Linked DNA regions of Mus musculus. The protein of the gene in region 1 purifies or fractionates together with the protein of each later gene. This does not show direct contact. Links are inferred from orthologs where the notes say so. Each region holds a gene or a part of one and is shown on either strand. Other genes may lie near its edges.

What was found.
Region 2: the proteins of Eef1g (region 1) and Eef1a1 purify together in Homo sapiens (affinity purification with mass spectrometry; 5 studies listed by BioGRID and IntAct, counting the BioPlex papers as one, with this or other methods). This does not show direct contact. The link is inferred for Mus musculus from reciprocal best matches to the Homo sapiens genes EEF1G and EEF1A1.

What each region holds. Positions count from the first base shown.
Region 1 is NC_000085.6:8,962,871-8,971,856, forward strand, and holds the start of Eef1g (elongation factor 1-gamma), read left to right. Parts: upstream 1-4,170; 5' UTR 4,171-4,343; coding exon 4,344-4,355; intron 4,356-5,345; coding exon 5,346-5,504; intron 5,505-6,291; coding exon 6,292-6,355; intron 6,356-6,493; coding exon 6,494-6,636; intron 6,637-6,973; coding exon 6,974-7,117; intron 7,118-8,986. Other genes in the region: Tut1 (speckle targeted PIP5K1A-regulated poly(A) polymerase), read left to right, coding at 1,150-1,259, 1,394-1,504, 1,691-1,783, 2,164-3,290. UniProt on the Homo sapiens protein: Probably plays a role in anchoring the complex to other cellular components.
Region 2 is NC_000075.6:78,477,296-78,486,154, reverse strand, and holds Eef1a1 (elongation factor 1-alpha 1), read left to right. Parts: upstream 1-4,430; 5' UTR 4,431-4,516; intron 4,517-5,466; 5' UTR 5,467-5,500; coding exon 5,501-5,644; intron 5,645-5,734; coding exon 5,735-5,914; intron 5,915-6,006; coding exon 6,007-6,303; intron 6,304-6,380; coding exon 6,381-6,531; intron 6,532-6,620; coding exon 6,621-6,877; intron 6,878-6,962; coding exon 6,963-7,197; intron 7,198-7,296; coding exon 7,297-7,421; 3' UTR 7,422-7,702; downstream 7,703-8,859. UniProt on the Homo sapiens protein: Translation elongation factor that catalyzes the GTP-dependent binding of aminoacyl-tRNA (aa-tRNA) to the A-site of ribosomes during the elongation phase of protein synthesis.

The DNA.
Region 1 (8,986 bases):
AGGAGGGGGTCCTGATGTGGACGAGCTTATGCCTGCTGAATTTGTTTTTCTTCTTTGGTTCAGTCCTCCTTTCTTCCACGAATGTCACCTCCTACCTGGCTTCCATTTCAGTGTTTTTTTTTCCTTTGGAATACTTTGTGCGTTTGAGTCAGAGTCTTGCTCCATTGTCCAGACTGGCCTCAAGCCTGTGATTCTCCTGCCTTAGCTTCCTAACTCCTGGGGTTACAGGCATGTGCTGCTATGCTTGACTCTGCAGTACTGCTTTTTGTTGTTGGTTTTGTTTTTTTGAGACAGCCTGTGTTGAGACAGGCTAACCTTGAGCTCATAGGCCTTTGCCTCCTCCTTTGGGGTTAAAAGCGTAGGAAAGAGTTCTGTAGCTACAGAAACCTAGGAACTGTTAGGTTAAAAGTAAACAGGGTTTTCCTTCACTATTTTTCCTTCCCTACTCCATGCTTTGTTTCTTTGTATATTAAGAGCTTTGCAACCAAATGCCTTCTCTTGAACCCCATAAAAGGAGGCCACAGATTATAACTGGGCCTCCGAATACTCTCATTCATGTGGCCCGCATATTTCTTTCAGATCTGTATTATCACTTTGCATTGAATAAACTATTCTTGCTACTATGCTTCTTATATTTGTGTCCGCATCTCATCTTGAGTGTAGTCAGAGAATGACGTGTGGGAATCAGTTCTCTTCCTTGTAACATAATTCCTAGGGATTAAACTGAGGGCGTCAGTCTTGGTGGCAGACTCTTACCCACTGAGCCATCTCACTGGTCCTGTGTCTCTGAGGCAGTGTCTCTATATTCCTATTCAATCTCTTGAGTATTGAAATTATAGGCACGTGCTACTACACCTGGCCGTTGAGCAGTCCTATATAAATAAACAACATGTCTTATGAATGGTGACAGTACAGGGTGAGCATTTGGAATGTAGTATTGCCTAAGGTTCAGTGGATACATATTCCCCCCTACCTCATCCCTAGGCTCAGGATACAACACAGGGCTTTATCAGTGCTAGGTAAATGTCCCACCACTGAGCCACATCCCTAAGATCCATTTAATGTTCTTTTGCATACTCCCTCATAAGATCATTATGTCAGTAGAACTTTGGGAAAATTTCTAACACCTTTGCTTCTCCATTGTCCTAGGTTGGCCTTATATAATTCACGTTTCCTGAATCTCTGCTCTGAGATGGATGGTCGAGTCCGGCCCCTTGTGTATACCTTACGCTGCTGGGCTCAGCATAATGGGCTGTCAGGTAAGAATGAGAACAGACTTGGCCCAAGTTTGTGTCAGGCAAAGGCAGGGATTTAGCAAGAAAAAAAGAGGTGGGCACAGAAACCAGGGCTTGTAAATACTTCTTCCTAACTTGAATTATTGGTTATTATCCAGGAGGTGGCCCCCTTCTCAATAACTACGCCTTGACGTTGTTAGTGATCTACTTCCTTCAGACCAGAGACCCTCCAGTACTTCCTACTGTGGCCCAGCTTACCCAGAGAGCAGGTACTGCAGAACGGCCTCTACTGTCATGACCTCAGCTTCATCTCACCCCTTCACACTTCAGAAGCCCCGAGATGAGATCTCTGGCTCTGCCCTTCCCAGAGATCAGAAGGCAGGCCCTCTGCCACCATCAATGGCAGACTCTGGGCTGACTGGCTCTGGGCTGACTGTCTCTTCTTACTGTCACAGGTGAAGGGGAACAGGTAGAAGTTGATGGCTGGGACTGTAGCTTCCCTAAGGATGCCTCAAGATTGGAGCCCAGCACCAACGTGGAGCCTCTCAGTGAGTCTGGGGAACCTGGTAGAAAACTGATTGTGATGACAGGCTCAAGAATAGGGGACATATACTTGTGTGCAAGGCATGCTCAAGAATAAGAGACATATATTATACTTGTGTGTAAGGCATGGTCTTCATAGTAGCCTATGGCAGCTGTTTTATGGATGGAAAAACACGTATCTTGGGCAGGCAAGTAAGAGGTGTATTCCCCAGTTTCCCTGCTCTCTAGGCCAAGCAGAAGCATCTGGGTCAGGCAGGGCATGGCTGGGTTTCTCAGGACACTTCTGAAGTCCTATGAAGGGAAGAGAGTCCCACTGAAGTAGCTGCAGGGATGTCCCAGTTATGGCTTCCAGGTGACCCCCTTTTTTCTAATCTGCCTCCATCAGGTTCCCTGCTGGCCCAGTTCTTCTCCTGCGTATCTTGCTTGGATCTTTCTGGCTCCCTGCTGTCCCTGCGGGAAGGTCGGCCATTGATGGTGGCAGAGGGCCTGCCTTCTGATCTCTGGGAAGGGCTGCGCCTTGGCCCCATGAATCTCCAGGACCCCTTTGACCTGAGTCACAATGTTGCAGCCAATGTGACCGGCCGGGTGGCTAAACGTCTGCAGAGCTGTTGTGGGGCAGCAGCCAGTTACTGCCGAAGTCTCCAGTACCAGCAGCGTTCCTCCCGGGGCCGGGACTGGGGACTGCTCCCGCTTTTGCAGCCCAGCTCCCCTAGCTCCCTGCTGTCTGCCAAGCTCATCCCCTTACCCTCTGCCCCCTTTCCACAGGTCATTATGGCTTTGGTGGATGTGTTAAGGGAAGCACTAGGATGCCACATAGAACAGGGAACCAAGAGACGACGGTCAGAAGGTGCCAGAATTAAAGACTCTCCCTTGGGAGGGGTGAACAAAAGACAGAGACTTGGTGGGCAAGAAAAGAGCTTCGAGGAAGGGAAAGAGGAGCCACAGGGATGTGCAGGGGACCACAGTGAAAATGAGGTAGAAGAAATGGTAATAGAGGTTCGAGAGACACCTCAGGACTGGGCCTTGTTGCACTCGGGACCACCAGAGGAGGAGTTGCCCCTGATGACTGCAAACTGTCTAGACAAGGCAGCTGAGCATAATCCCATGAAACCTGAAGTGGCTGGAGAAGGGTCTCAGGGTGAGACAGGGAAGGAGGCATCACACCCATCATCAGTGAGCTGGCGCTGTGCCTTGTGGCACCAAGTATGGCAGGGGAGGCGGCGTGCCCGGAGACGATTACAGCAACAAACCAAGGAAGAAGGTAGAGGAGGTCCCACCACAGGAGCAGAGTGGCTGGCAATGGAAGCTCGTGTGACCCAGGAACTAAAAGGACCCAATAGTGAGCAAGAGAGGCCGCCGGGGGAGCCCCTCCTCAGCTTTGTGGCATCTGCCTCCCAGGCTGAGCAGACACTCACTGTGGCCCCACTCCAGGACTCCCAAGGCCTGTTCCCTGGTCTTCATCATTTTCTACAGGGTTTTATCCCTCAAGCACTTAAAAATCTCCTCAAGTGAGGAACCAAACCTCAAAAACAATAAAGCTGCTAGTTTATTTCATACAGACATTTAATGTTCTTTTGCATACTCCCTCATAAGACCATTACGAGGTCTTTGTTTTCCTCCTGGTAACGCCTTTTTTCTTTGCCTCAATGTAGCTTCTGGCCTGACTACTCTAAAACAGTCCTATGACTTCCACTTCAGAGCTCTCCTTCCCACTTGCCAGCACTTTCCTAGGGAGTGCCACCTCCACGAGGCAAAGGCACTGATTTCTGAGAACAACCTTTGCCCACACGAGACTTGTCCTGCTGCTCCAGGTGATGGGAACCACAAATTTGGGTTTAGGGTTTGTCTTTTCTATCCTTTAACGTGAAAGAGAGTTCAAATTGCCCATAAGCTGGAGTCAAGATTTATTTTCAAATTTGGATATGTGTAAACTATTGTATCAGAACTGGGCTGCCTTACCCGACCCTCTGGGGCGCAGCCAAGCCTGAGTGGTGCTGGTGACGTGGCAAGTTGGTCCGTGCTGCTTTGTTGTGTAAGTTTTAACAGCACGGAGTTTAATCGGAGCAGACCTACTTTCAGATGTTTTCGGCCGTGGGCCCCAGCTGAACAGACAGACCCTTTACAGAAAAAACCCGAACAGGAACAAAAGGAATTCAGTAAATTGCCACCCCTTCCTTAAGGCAGTTCCTGTAGTTTGTCACGGGTTCCAGATACCAGCCTTCGAGGGGCGGTGCTTCCGCCGGGTTCTCACACTTTTCCCCTCCCTGGGTGAGCTCCGTCTCCTATCAGGCTTCCGATTGGTCGGCGACGCGGGCGGGGCAGGATCGTCCAGAGTTATACTACGCAGGCGCCCGCTCTCTGCGCTCCAGGCTGCGGGCCCCACCCCTCGCTTTTTCCAACTCAGCGGGGCTGTAGACGGAACTGTCGTGCGTATGCCTTTTATGCCGTCCTCGCTTTCCGGCCGCTGTTTCCACACTGCTCTCTCCTTTCCTCCTCCCTTGTCTCCTTTGCGGCTTACTTTGCGGCAGCACCGACAGCCCCACCCCCTTTCTCTGCGGAATCACCATGGCGGCTGGGGTAAGTTTGCCGGCTCCGGTGATTAGGGTCACCCTATCCACCGCCATCCTTTGCCTGAGTGGGGCCAGTCGGCGCCAGGGGAGTTTCAGACCCAAGCCGCGAGCCGATCTGGGGTTCACAAGCCGTACGGTCGGAGAGCATGGTTTCTAGGGCCTGGAGGGGAACTGAGGCTGGGGCTCAGAGGCTAGAGGTGGAACGTTCTGGGGTTGAGGAGAAAAAAGATGCTGGGTCTCCATTGTCTGGACCTTTAAAAAGTGTTTAACCTCACTGCCATTTTGAGGTGTGGCGTCTGAGCAGGTTGGTGGAACTTTTGCCACCGTTTTGTGGGACAACAACGAGGACGTGGAAAGGAGAGGGTCTTTGTGGGAAGGGGCGACTGGCACGTTGGGAGTTGACCTTCGGGGAGGTTTGGGAGCCAGAGGAATAAAGGGGGGGTGAAGTGAGCCCATATGGACCCTGCTGGTGAGATTTTAGTAGGGAGACAACTGGGAACTCACTGCAGGACAGGACCAGAGGGTTGCTAATTCGCCATGTGCAAAGAAAGGCATTTCAGGAAGAATAACTGATGAACATTAGAATTCAGCGTGTCGATTCTGAGGGGAACTTTGAAATCCCTTGGTCTGTGTGTGTGCTTTTGAAGTGATAGCAGCCTGGAAGTAGTTAGACTCCGGGTCACCGCCAATGAATGAAACAAGGGTTCTGGGAGAGATGGGTGTGAGTGTTCGTGTGTTTAGGCAGATGGGACCAGAAGTTTTGAAGGGAAGAATGCCTCTAGAGATGTCCTTAAGAGAGGTCACATCTGTCGGTAAGCTTTATTTAGCAGCTGGGATGTTCTTCTTGGTATTTCAGAGGACTCTGATTACATGGGGCATACTCGGTTCACTAGGAGTGAATCTAAGCTGTGCACATTGGAATTGCATGGAAGTGTGCGTGGGGAGTGGCATTCAGGGTTCCTTGCCTCTAGTCCATCCTTCACCCTTTCTCTTGTAGACCCTGTACACATACCCTGAAAATTGGAGGGCCTTCAAGGCCCTCATCGCTGCTCAGTACAGCGGGGCTCAGGTCCGCGTGCTCTCCGCACCACCCCACTTCCACTTTGGCCAAACCAACCGCACCCCTGAATTTCTCCGAAAATTTCCTGCCGGCAAGGTGAGTGGGGAAGCATCTGGGATCTCTAGAATTCCATTATTCTGGAGATGGCCCCCATGGTGTGTGTGTGTGTGTATTTATTTATATATATATTTTTTTAAAGAAATTTTAAGGGGCTAGGAATGTAACCTATTAAAGCCTCTGAACTTGACTGCCCAAAGGAAAAAAATAATTTTGAAAGCTCCCGGAGACCGAGGCAGGGAGATTGTGTGAAGCAAGCCTATAAGTATAGTAAGATCCTGTCTCCATTGTAATTATGAAGTTCCATTGTATTCACAGCTGTTCAGTGACTGTCAGGAGTTCCAGGCCTGGTTTATATTTGTAGGATAAAATGTATTTTCACCAGGTGTTATCTGTATGTATGTACTAAGTATGTCTTGAGAGTTGGATTCTTACCCCATAGAGCATGAGTAGAGCTAAATATCCAAATCTAAATATAGAGGCAAATGCTAAGTCTGGATGGCACCTAATGATTTGGGCAGTGAAGCTGTGGGATTGTTGGGTGGCATCCATATCTGAATTTGTTTATTTTGAGGTGGGGTCTCAGTAGCTTGCTGGCTGGTTTCAGACAAGGGTATGGGGCACCACACTTTAGCTATGTTTGAATTTCACCCTTGTGAATTCATATCATGAGGGATACTAAGTAATTTTCACTTCTGAGCTTGAGATGTCATGAATTAGCGTAGCAAGAGTTGTCTGTCTTAACATATTATTTAGAACAATTCAGCCTGGAGAATTGGCTACTGAGAAATCTCTGTGTTTATGTTTTCTGCTACTTTCTCCACAGGTTCCAGCATTTGAGGGTGATGATGGATTCTGTGTGTTTGAGAGCAATGCCATTGCCTATTATGGTAATTTGTGGGGATACAGGCGTGAGAGGGTATGGGGGTAAGGCTGTAGAAGCGGCTGTGGCGGACAAGGTGGAATCAGAGACCCGGCTTGGTTTTGGCATGAGGTCAAAGTTCTAAGCTCTATGTCTGCCTTTGCAGTAAGCAATGAGGAGCTGCGAGGAAGTACGCCAGAGGCGGCAGCTCAGGTGGTGCAGTGGGTCAGCTTTGCTGACAGTGACATCGTTCCTCCAGCTAGTACCTGGGTGTTCCCCACCTTGGGCATTATGCACCACAACAAACAGGTACGCTTTGGAACTTGGGGAGAAGCTGGGCCAGAGATAGAGTCAGAGCCTACATTTTGGGACTGGGAGACAGATGAAGGAAAAGATAGCAGGAGTGTGGGGGCAATGCAGACTAAAGTGGCTACCATCAGTATGGTGCAAATAAAGTCATGTTGATCATGAAGATATCTAACACGAGTGATTTCATTTCTGATAAGTTTCAACTGATTCTAGAGTCTAATGATAGAGGGTGGGGGTTGAGTCGATGGCTGGTTAAATGGCTTCTTTAGTTCTGTTGGTGGGGGGATCTGAGGAAAGGGACTTGGTACCCACTAAGCTTGAGTATTCAAAACAACAGGCCACTGAAAATGCGAAAGAGGAGGTGAAGCGAATCCTGGGGCTGCTGGACACTCACTTGAAGACTCGAACTTTTCTAGTGGGCGAGCGAGTGACACTGGCTGATATTACAGTTGTCTGTACCCTGTTGTGGCTCTATAAACAGGTAAGGTTTATATCCCATGTGACAGGGGTTAGACCTGTATTAGGGTAACCCTGTTTTTGCTTAAGACAGACCAGTAGTTAATGATTGTAGGGATCCCAACAGTGAGAACTGTGACTGTTTCCATCTTATTAAAGATGGATAAAGGCTGCGTGTGGTAGCTCATACTTGTGTAATCCCAGCACTTGAGATACTGAGACAGGAGGATCATTCTGGTTTAAGGCCACCCTAGGCTACATAGTGATATCAAAAATAGAAAGCAAAAATCAAAGATGTAAGAGACAGGGATAGTGACTGCAGCAGCGAGAGCTTTTGGAGGCAGATTCAGGTCTCTGTCTTAACTTCAGTGTTTAAAGATGCAGTGGTATAAGAATTCTCATAGTTATTTATCTGTGATAAGTCCAAGGTGGTATTCAGCTTATGTCTACATGTATTTGCATATGTGTGTGCATGCATGCAGATCCCAAGGAGCTTGAGTTACAGATGGCTGTGAGCTACTATGTGTGTGCTAGGAATCAAACCAGGTAGCCATCCCCAGCTGCCCCCAACCCCCATGTTTGTTTTTTTTTTTTTTTTTAATATTGTGTTGCTGATTTCTAGGCGGCAGCAGCTCTGGACCCATTCTGGTTCAGAATTACAGTCCAGTGAGAACAAAAAAAAATGCCATTGTTTGCCAGACTGGTGTGCCTCACAGGGTTCATTATAATCCTTCCATGGCCACAACACACAGCAAGTACATGTTCAAGTCACTGCAGAACTTGCGGTGCGTGACTAACTGAATTCTGTGATCTGTCTCCATGATTTACCCTTCTACCCACTCCTGTTTTGACAAAGTAGAAAATGACAGGGGCTGGAGAGATGAGTCAATAGTTTTAAAAAATGCTTGCTGCTCTTCCAGAGGACTCTGGTGGATTCTCAGCACCCACACGCTTCTCACAACTGGAACTCCATTTCCAGAAGATCTGATGTTCCAGCTTCCGTGAGCCCTAGGAATGCACGTGGTGCATAGACAAACGCACAGGCAAGACACCCAGATACAGAAAAGTACCAAACAGGAGCTTGTAAGATGGTAGTGTGGGGCAGGAGAGATGGCTCAGCACTCGAAGAGTTCTTGTTTTGCAGAGGCTATGTTTATTTCCCAATACACAAATGGCAGCTTAAAACTATATAACGCCAACTCGGGGAGCCGGTGTTTTATGATCTAAGTGGGCACAGATATACTTGGAAGAAAAGCACTAAAACATAAGAATGAATGTAAGTTTTTCAAGGACGAGGTTTGAAGGAAGGACTGTGTTGTGTCTGCTGGGCACGTGCTGTGTTGCTGCTCTATCTAGTCTTGGGTTGCTTGTGCCTTCTGTGTGTGTTAGAGTCGCAGTGCGGGGCTAGCGTGGAGCCCAGTGATTTACCTGGCATGCTTTATGTCCCATTCCTAGCATCACACACGAAGTATCTTTTTTTGGAGGGTTGTCATAGCAAAATAAGTGTGGTAGTCACCCCACTCTACCCCATTTGGGTGCTGATTTGGAACCCGGTGCCTTGACCAATGTCTGGGTCACCTGCTACTAAGCCACATTCCTAGCCCCCCCCGGTACTCTAGACAGGCTCTTCTTACAGCCTTTTCAATCTTTTTTGGGGGGGTGGGGGGGATAGGGTTTCTCTGTAGACCAGGCTGCCCTAAAACTCAGCTCTGCCTGCCTCTGCTTTGCTTTCTTGGTGCTGGGATTGTTGGCATGAAATTTTTAAAATTAAGAATAGATGAAAGAGGGGCTAGAGAGATGGCTCAGTGGTTAAGAGCGCCAGCTGCTTTTCCAGAGGTCCTGAGTTCAATTCCCAGCAACCACATGGTGGCTCACAACCATCTGTAATAGGATC
Region 2 (8,859 bases), on another chromosome or scaffold:
CATCTCTCTGGGCCTTATTTTATTATTTTTAATTATATGTAGGTGCGTTATATGTCTGCACTGTGGCCAGTGAAGGTGCCCTGGGAGGCCGGAGTGTTGGATCCTCTAGAGCAGGGAACTGAACTTCTGTGCTCTGCAAGAACAGCCAGAGCTCTTCACCATTGAGCCATTTCTCCAGCCCTGTTCCTGTCCCGTTTTCTTTTCCTTTTTTTTAAGATTTATTTTTTTTAAATGATTTGTTTATTTTTATTTTATGTGTATTGGTGTTCTGCCTGTCTTGTGTCTGTGTGAGGGTGTCAGATCTCTTGGAACTGGAGTTTCAGAGGAGGAGAAGGAGGAATTGTTTCAAGTCTAAGGCAGCCCTTTTGGGAGCTGCCATGTGGGTGCTGGGAATTGAACCCGGGTCCTCTGGAGGAGGAGCCAGTGTTCTTGATGCTTTTCTTTCTCACCTAAATCGACTTTCATTTTTCTATTTTGTTTAACACTAGGGAATAAATATCATAACTGGGCTGGTGAGATGGCTCAGCAGGTAAGAGCACCCGACTGCTCTTCTGAAGGTCCTGAGTTCAGGTCCCAGCAAACACATGGTGGCTTACAACCATCCTTAAGGAGATCTGACTGGTGTGTCTGAAGACAGCTGCAGTGTACTTACATATATTAATAAAAAAAATCATAACTCTCTTTTAGGATTAGATTTTAGCCATGATTCTGGACTTAATATAAGACTTACAAACCAGAATCTGTTGCTTGCCTAGTGTTTGTGAAGTTGTTTGCCATGGTTTGGATTCCTGAATGTCGCATAAAAATAGGTGATGAGGGTGGAGGCAGGGGAATCAGAAGTTCAAGGTTATTTTTAGGTACAGAATGAGTTTGAGGCCAGCCTAAGCTACATGAGACTCTGTCTCTAAACAATCAGAAAACAGAACAAAACAGAACAAAAGAGGAGAAACGCCCCCCACCCCTACCTTGCCAGGCAGAGTCAGGAGGATTTCTGAGGCCAGCCTAGTCTACATAGTAAGTTCTGGGCTAGCCAGGGCTACACAGTAAGACCCTGACTCAGAAAACAAAACAAACAACATGTGTGTGTGGGGGGGTAAAATATAGAGTGTAAAACAAATAAATTTAAAATAAGAAAAACAAACAATATACAGCATGTAGGTCTAGAGTGATGGCTCAACAGGTAAGACCTGCTGTTCTTATAGAGGACAGGGGTTCAGTTCTCAGCATGCAGATCAGGCAGCTTACAACCATCCTAGTTCTAGAGGCCTAACACCCTGACACTCCCCCCTCCCCCGCCCCCCAGGGAGGGCACCTGGAATGCACACAGTGCATAGACACACGTGCAGGCAAAACGTCCACATATATAAAATAAAAAAATGAAAACAAATCCTCTAAACTTTCAGTCTTTAATCTTTTGATTCAAACCCTCAGGTCATAAAATAATAATTTCTTTACATTGTCAAAAATGTGCCATTCCTGCTAAAAAAAATATGCAGGGTTGCCAGGCTTGGTGGTGTAGGCCTTTAATCCCAGCACAGGGGCGGCAGAGGCCGGCAGATCCCAGTGAATTCGAGGCTGGCCTGGTCTACAAAGTGAGTTCCAGGACAGCCAGGGATGTTACATAGAGAAACTTTGTCTTGAAAACTAAAGAAGACAAAATAAAAGATGTGTACTATTCTATTACCCCAATAATATATAAGCCCAAACCATTGGAAGCATATATTGCTAAAGCAAGCATGGAAAATAATATCTCGATAATATCTCGTGTGGGACAGATACCACTACTGTATACACTAATGTATCCCACCGCTGACTGTGGGAAACAAGCTGCAAAGAGGAGTCTCTAGCCAGTGTCTCCAAGGAAATAAATGAGAGAGAGAGCAGAGAGTGGGTTCTGTTGCTGCCGATGGGTTTTCGAGTATTTCTTACAATTTCTCCTGTTACAAATAGGCAGTAGGGTATCAAGATAATTCTATCCTGTATGCATATGACTGGCTAGGGACCCCAGAAAAATTCTGTGTGGAAAAAAAGAATTTGTGAAATGAGAGAGGCTAATGTGGACATTACAGAAAAGGCTTTTGTGTGCCTAGCACGCATAGAATAGATCCTGTGTGTGATCCTTTAACAACCTCATTGACCAGAAAAAGAAAAGGCTTCTGTGGATAGCAAATGATTAGTTATATGTATATACTTGGAGGGAAACGTTGTCCTGGATTCTTTGATTACAATTACCAGTGTTAGATGAAAATGAAGCTAGAAGCCACCTGATGAGTGAGAAAATCTGCCTTTAGGAAGTTATAAGGATCTGTAAACTAAGAATTAGGAAGGCTATTACAGGGTCTTTGTTTCTCACTTAGGCAAGAAAAGAAGCCTGGGGTGGGGGTGGGAGGGCTGTGGGGAGGATGCGGGGTGGGGGGGCACACCTGAGATCCCAGTACTTGAGAAGTGGAGCTAGGAAGATTAGAAATTGAAGGCCAGCAGGGCATGGTGGTGCATACCTTTAATCCCAGCACTCGGGAGGCAGAGGCAGGCGGATTTCTGAGTTCGAGGCCAGCCTGGTCTACAAAGTGAGCTCTAGGACAGCCAGGGCTACACAGAGAAACCCTGTCTCGAAAAACCAAAAAAAAAAAAAAAAAATTGAAGGCCAGCCTCAGCAACATGAGTTTGAGGCCAGCCTGAGCTACATCAAGTTCTGTTTCAAACAAAAACAAAAGTAGGACATGAAATGGCTCTCTGGGTACAGGCGTTTGCTGCAAAGCCTGACTGAGTTAGATCCCATAGGTCCACGTAGTTGAGGGGCAAACCTGCCCCACGAAAGGTGGCCTCTGGCCTCTGGCCTCCGCACAGGGTGATGTGGCACACGCATTCACACACACTAAATAAATACCACTTTTAAAAAAAAGTTAAAAAACAACAGTTTGGGATGTGAAAAATAGTTGAAAACTAGAACTAGACAAGAAATGAGAAGCATCATGTAAATTTGCTTTGAACTGGTTCCAAATTGTTTTATATTTAAGTTTTTCCCTTGACTGTGGAACTCTTCCCCAGAAACAAATAGTTCCTTTGCAAATCCTGTGTGTTTTTGTGAACACTAGACAGAGGCCCTCAAATGCTCCTAGTAAGGTTGGTGCAAGAACATCAAATGTTTGTAACTGGGAAGTGATGTTGTACACCTGGGAGAGGAGATCCAATGATGGATAATCAGATAGGATATCTTTGAGCTAGGAACTGTAACTTGGTGATAGACACCCTAGGGTTCCATCTCCAGCACCCCATATCCCATTACAAAATAATTCTTTTTCCATCTCTAGCATTAAAAAACAAAACAAAGAAGTTCTTCTTTCCTCTGAGAAACACTTCTGTGTGCCTGCTCTGAGAGGCATTTAAAAATGGCCAGGGCTTTAATCCCAGCAGGTCCAGGTCGGATTCCTGTGAATTTGAAGTCAGCCTGGTCTACTACCTATTCCAGGGCAGCCAGGGCTAAAAAAGAGAGACCTTGTCTCAATAACAAAACAATGCTGGTATGATCGCTAGAATTGCAGCAAAGAAAGGGATGTAACTAACAAGGCAAGCCATTTTTGAGAAGCAGTGATTTCACAAGTGTTAGGGATGGGCGCTGGGAGATTGCTGATGCTGGTATTTAGATGAGACCATGTGGGGTGGATTAGATTATTTTCAGGTTTCTCATGTTCAATCAAATGGCTGTACATACACATGTACACATACAATCTTTTTAGTGTAACAAACCTAGAATCAAAGTAAAGCTAACTGTAGGATTGAAGCATATTCTGAACTGAACCCTTAGGGGTGTGAAGGCCGCTTCAGGTTTCCAGAGAATCAACCGGCATTGGATGGAATAAACCAAGGGGCCAGCCCAGGGGCAGATCGGTCGAGCTCTCCGCTACTGAGCTAAGCCCTTGGGTTCTAGAGCCGGGAAGGGTCCCCAACATTGTGTTCCTCTCCCAGCCAGGAGAGCATGGGCTGCGGGAGGCGAACAGAAGGATAGCGGGGCTGACGTCGGGAGGTGGCCTCCGTGGGAAGGGACACCCGGATCTTGACACAGCCTTGGCAGCGGAGTAAGGAAGAGTAGGGATAGATTCTGGCCGCCCTCTTGGCCAGCTTCTCGCCGCCCCACCCTCCGCTAGGGCCAAGAGTAATTCATACAAAAGGAGGGATCGCCTTCGCCTGGGGAAGTCCCAGGGACCGTCGCTAAATTCTCATAACCCATAATCCCGGTACCCGCCCCACCACAGTGCGAGGAGCATGCGCTCAGGGCTGAGCGCGGGGAGAGCAGAGCACACAAGCTCATAGACCCTGGTCGTGGGGGGAGGGGCGCACTGAGCGGGGGGGGGGGGGGTGATGGGGGGGAGGACCGGGGAGCTGGCGCGGGGCAAACTGGGAAAGCGGTGTCGTGTGCTGGCTCCGCCCTCTTCCCGAGGGTGGGGGAGAACGGTATATAAGTGCGGCAGTCGCCTTGGACGTTCTTTTTCGCAACGGGTTTGCCGTCAGAACGCAGGTGAGGGGCGGGTGTGGCTTCCGCGGGCCGCCGAGCTGGAGGTCCTGCTCCGAGCGGGCCGGGCCCCGCTGTCGTCGGCGGGGATTAGCTGCGAGCATTCCCGCTTCGAGTTGCGGGCGGCGCGGGAGGCAGAGTGCGAGGCCTAGCGGCAACCCCGTAGCCTCGCCTCGTGTCCGGCTTGAGGCCTAGCGTGGTGTCCGCGCCGCCGCCGCGTGCTACTCCGGCCGCACTCTGGTCTTTTTTTTTTTGTTGTTGTTGTTGCCCTGCTGCCTTCGATTGCCGTTCAGCAATAGGGGCTAACAAAGGGAGGGTGCGGGGCTTGCTCGCCCGGAGCCCGGAGAGGTCATGGTTGGGGAGGAATGGAGGGACAGGAGTGGCGGCTGGGGCCCGCCCGCCTTCGGAGCACATGTCCGACGCCACCTGGATGGGGCGAGGCCTGGGGTTTTTCCCGAAGCAACCAGGCTGGGGTTAGCGTGCCGAGGCCATGTGGCCCCAGCACCCGGCACGATCTGGCTTGGCGGCGCCGCGTTGCCCTGCCTCCCTAACTAGGGTGAGGCCATCCCGTCCGGCACCAGTTGCGTGCGTGGAAAGATGGCCGCTCCCGGGCCCTGTTGCAAGGAGCTCAAAATGGAGGACGCGGCAGCCCGGTGGAGCGGGCGGGTGAGTCACCCACACAAAGGAAGAGGGCCTGGTCCCTCACCGGCTGCTGCTTCCTGTGACCCCGTGGTCCTATCGGCCGCAATAGTCACCTCGGGCTTTTGAGCACGGCTAGTCGCGGCGGGGGGAGGGGATGTAATGGCGTTGGAGTTTGTTCACATTTGGTGGGTGGAGACTAGTCAGGCCAGCCTGGCGCTGGAAGTCATTTTTGGAATTTGTCCCCTTGAGTTTTGAGCGGAGCTAATTCTCGGGCTTCTTAGCGGTTCAAAGGTATCTTTTAAACCCTTTTTTAGGTGTTGTGAAAACCACCGCTAATTCAAAGCAAAAATGGGAAAGGAAAAGACTCACATCAACATCGTCGTAATCGGACACGTAGATTCCGGCAAGTCCACCACAACCGGCCACCTGATCTACAAATGTGGTGGAATCGACAAGCGAACCATCGAAAAGTTTGAGAAGGAGGCTGCTGAGGCAAGTATAAGGCAAAAGGAGGGATGGGAATTCTTTAAGCAGGGAGTAGAACCTAGGTCTTGGGTGTACTAATTAGAAGTCACTTTGCAGATGGGAAAGGGCTCCTTCAAGTACGCCTGGGTCTTAGACAAACTGAAAGCTGAGCGTGAGCGTGGTATCACTATTGACATCTCCCTGTGGAAATTCGAGACCAGCAAATACTATGTGACCATCATTGATGCCCCAGGACACAGAGACTTCATCAAAAACATGATTACAGGCACATCCCAGGTGTGTAAAATTTACCCATTCCTGACTCAGGATATTTTTTAGTGGGGTGCTTTCTCTGAGATAATGGTATATGATTGTCTTGTTTCTTACAGGCTGACTGTGCTGTCCTGATTGTTGCTGCTGGTGTTGGTGAATTTGAAGCTGGTATCTCCAAGAACGGGCAGACCCGCGAGCATGCTCTTCTGGCTTACACCCTGGGTGTGAAACAGCTGATTGTTGGTGTCAACAAAATGGATTCCACCGAGCCACCATACAGTCAGAAGAGATACGAGGAAATCGTTAAGGAAGTCAGCACCTACATTAAGAAAATTGGCTACAACCCTGACACAGTAGCATTTGTGCCAATTTCTGGTTGGAATGGTGACAACATGCTGGAGCCAAGTGCTAATGTAAGTGACTTTTAAGGTAGTTGAATGGAGAAAGCCGCAATAAGTAAGGAGGTTATAATTGACTGCCTGTGTTTTAGATGCCTTGGTTCAAGGGATGGAAAGTCACCCGCAAAGATGGCAGTGCCAGTGGCACCACGCTGCTGGAAGCTTTGGATTGTATCCTACCACCAACTCGTCCAACTGACAAGCCCCTGCGACTGCCCCTCCAGGATGTCTATAAAATTGGAGGTAAGTAGAATATTAAGTAGAATGTTGACGTGAATTTGAAGTCTTATGTTTTGTGTATTAAATACTTATACAAAACAATACTATTTTAGGCATTGGCACTGTCCCTGTGGGCCGAGTGGAGACTGGTGTTCTCAAGCCTGGCATGGTGGTTACCTTTGCTCCAGTCAATGTAACAACTGAAGTCAAGTCTGTTGAAATGCACCATGAAGCTTTGAGTGAAGCTCTTCCTGGGGACAATGTGGGCTTCAATGTAAAGAACGTGTCGGTCAAAGATGTTAGACGAGGCAATGTTGCTGGTGACAGCAAAAACGACCCACCAATGGAAGCAGCTGGCTTCACTGCTCAGGTGACACATTTTTAAGATAGGTGGCTAGATTGGTTGTGTGTGCAGAATCACAAGGCAAGACTTAAATACACGCTGTTTTTCTTAGGTGATTATCCTGAACCATCCAGGCCAAATCAGTGCTGGCTACGCTCCTGTTCTGGATTGTCACACAGCCCACATAGCATGCAAGTTTGCTGAGCTTAAAGAAAAGATCGATCGTCGTTCTGGTAAGAAGCTGGAAGATGGCCCCAAGTTCCTGAAGTCTGGCGATGCTGCCATTGTTGATATGGTCCCTGGCAAGCCCATGTGTGTTGAGAGCTTCTCTGACTACCCTCCACTTGGTAAGCCTGATCTGAGTCTGCTACACTGAACATCAAGTTTGTAATAGGAAATGTTGCTTGCATAGCAAAGATACTGATAAATGGCATTTTTCTATATAGGTCGCTTTGCTGTTCGTGACATGAGGCAGACAGTTGCTGTGGGTGTCATCAAAGCTGTGGACAAGAAGGCTGCTGGAGCTGGCAAAGTCACCAAGTCTGCCCAGAAAGCTCAGAAGGCTAAATGAATATTACCCCTAACACCTGCCACCCCAGTCTTAATCAGTGGTGGAAGAACGGTCTCAGAACTGTTTGTCTCAATTGGCCATTTAAGTTTAATAGTAAAAGACTGGTTAATGATAACAATGCATCGTAAAACCTTCAGAAGGAAAGAATGTTGTGGACCATTTTTTTTGTGTGTGGCAGTTTTAAGTTATTAGTTTTCAAAATCAGTACTTTTTAATGGAAACAACTTGACCAAAAATCTGTCACAGAATTTTGAGACCATTAAAACAAGTTTAATGAGAAATCTGTGTTGGTCAATGCTGAAAGTTAACTGACTGTATACAACAAAGGTACTGGGGTCCCCATGGTATGTTCTTAGGGATTGAGTTCTGGTTGTCTGGGTCTGCCCAGAACTGAGCTATAAACAGGGCTGATTTGGGTTAACTTCAAATCTTACTGGTGAGGACAAAGTAATTTTGCTGTATCAACCCAAGGTGTGGTATAGTTGGGCAGACTATACCTATACCCCAATCTGTCTGGATCTGCATGCAGTAGGTCAGACTTGGGTGTGACAGCTAAGTTTGATTTAGGCAGCATTGGAGTATGCTACCACATAGGATTACTGAGTGTGCTTTGTGAATATTGGAAATGAAGCAAGGTTGGACAATTACTTGAGCATTTCCTTCCACAATTACACAGGAGAGAACCTTAACTAAAAAGACCAATCTTGAATGAATAGGTGAGAACGAAGAGGCTAAGCAAAAGGGATTTTCTAAGATGAGCTTTTGCAAAACAAGCTGATGGTAGGGTGGTAGGAATACCTTCAATAATAAGGTAAAAGCTGTTCAGTATTTATACTGAGATTTTGGTTACAGTGACTGTACTTGTTGCCAGAACATGTAATTTGAAATAAGTTTCAAAACTGAGGCATGTTAGCCTGACTTTGGCAGAACAAACATGGGCTAGTCCCTGGAAGTGGATTGGCAAGACTGCATAGGATATGTCATGAAGTCCATGAGATGAAAACAGGTGGCCTAAGTTTAGATAATCTAGACTCAGAAAAGTGATGTGTAATAACCCCTTTGATATGGCAAAAACATCCAATGTGTCATCTTTACCCTTAGAGACTGGATAAAATTCTAGTGCTTGTGGGATTAAGGGTTGCTGTTGCTGCAAACTCTTTACTAAAGGCTTGTCAGTTCCTTAGTTGAGGTTATTTCAAGTAGGACTGGTTAAAATGGATTGCTAATAGTGAAATAGCTTAAGTAAGCTGTTAGACCCTAAATAAGAATCAAGACCTACCTGGGAAATTGATAGCAAGTGTCTGCTGGATACAAACACCGTTTTTCAAACCTGCACACTTACGTGTATAAGTGGAGTAGCACCATCTACTGGTGCTTTGAAGACAAAACATTCAGAATAAAAGCATGTTTCTGGGGATGGAATTCAGGGCCAAAGGTT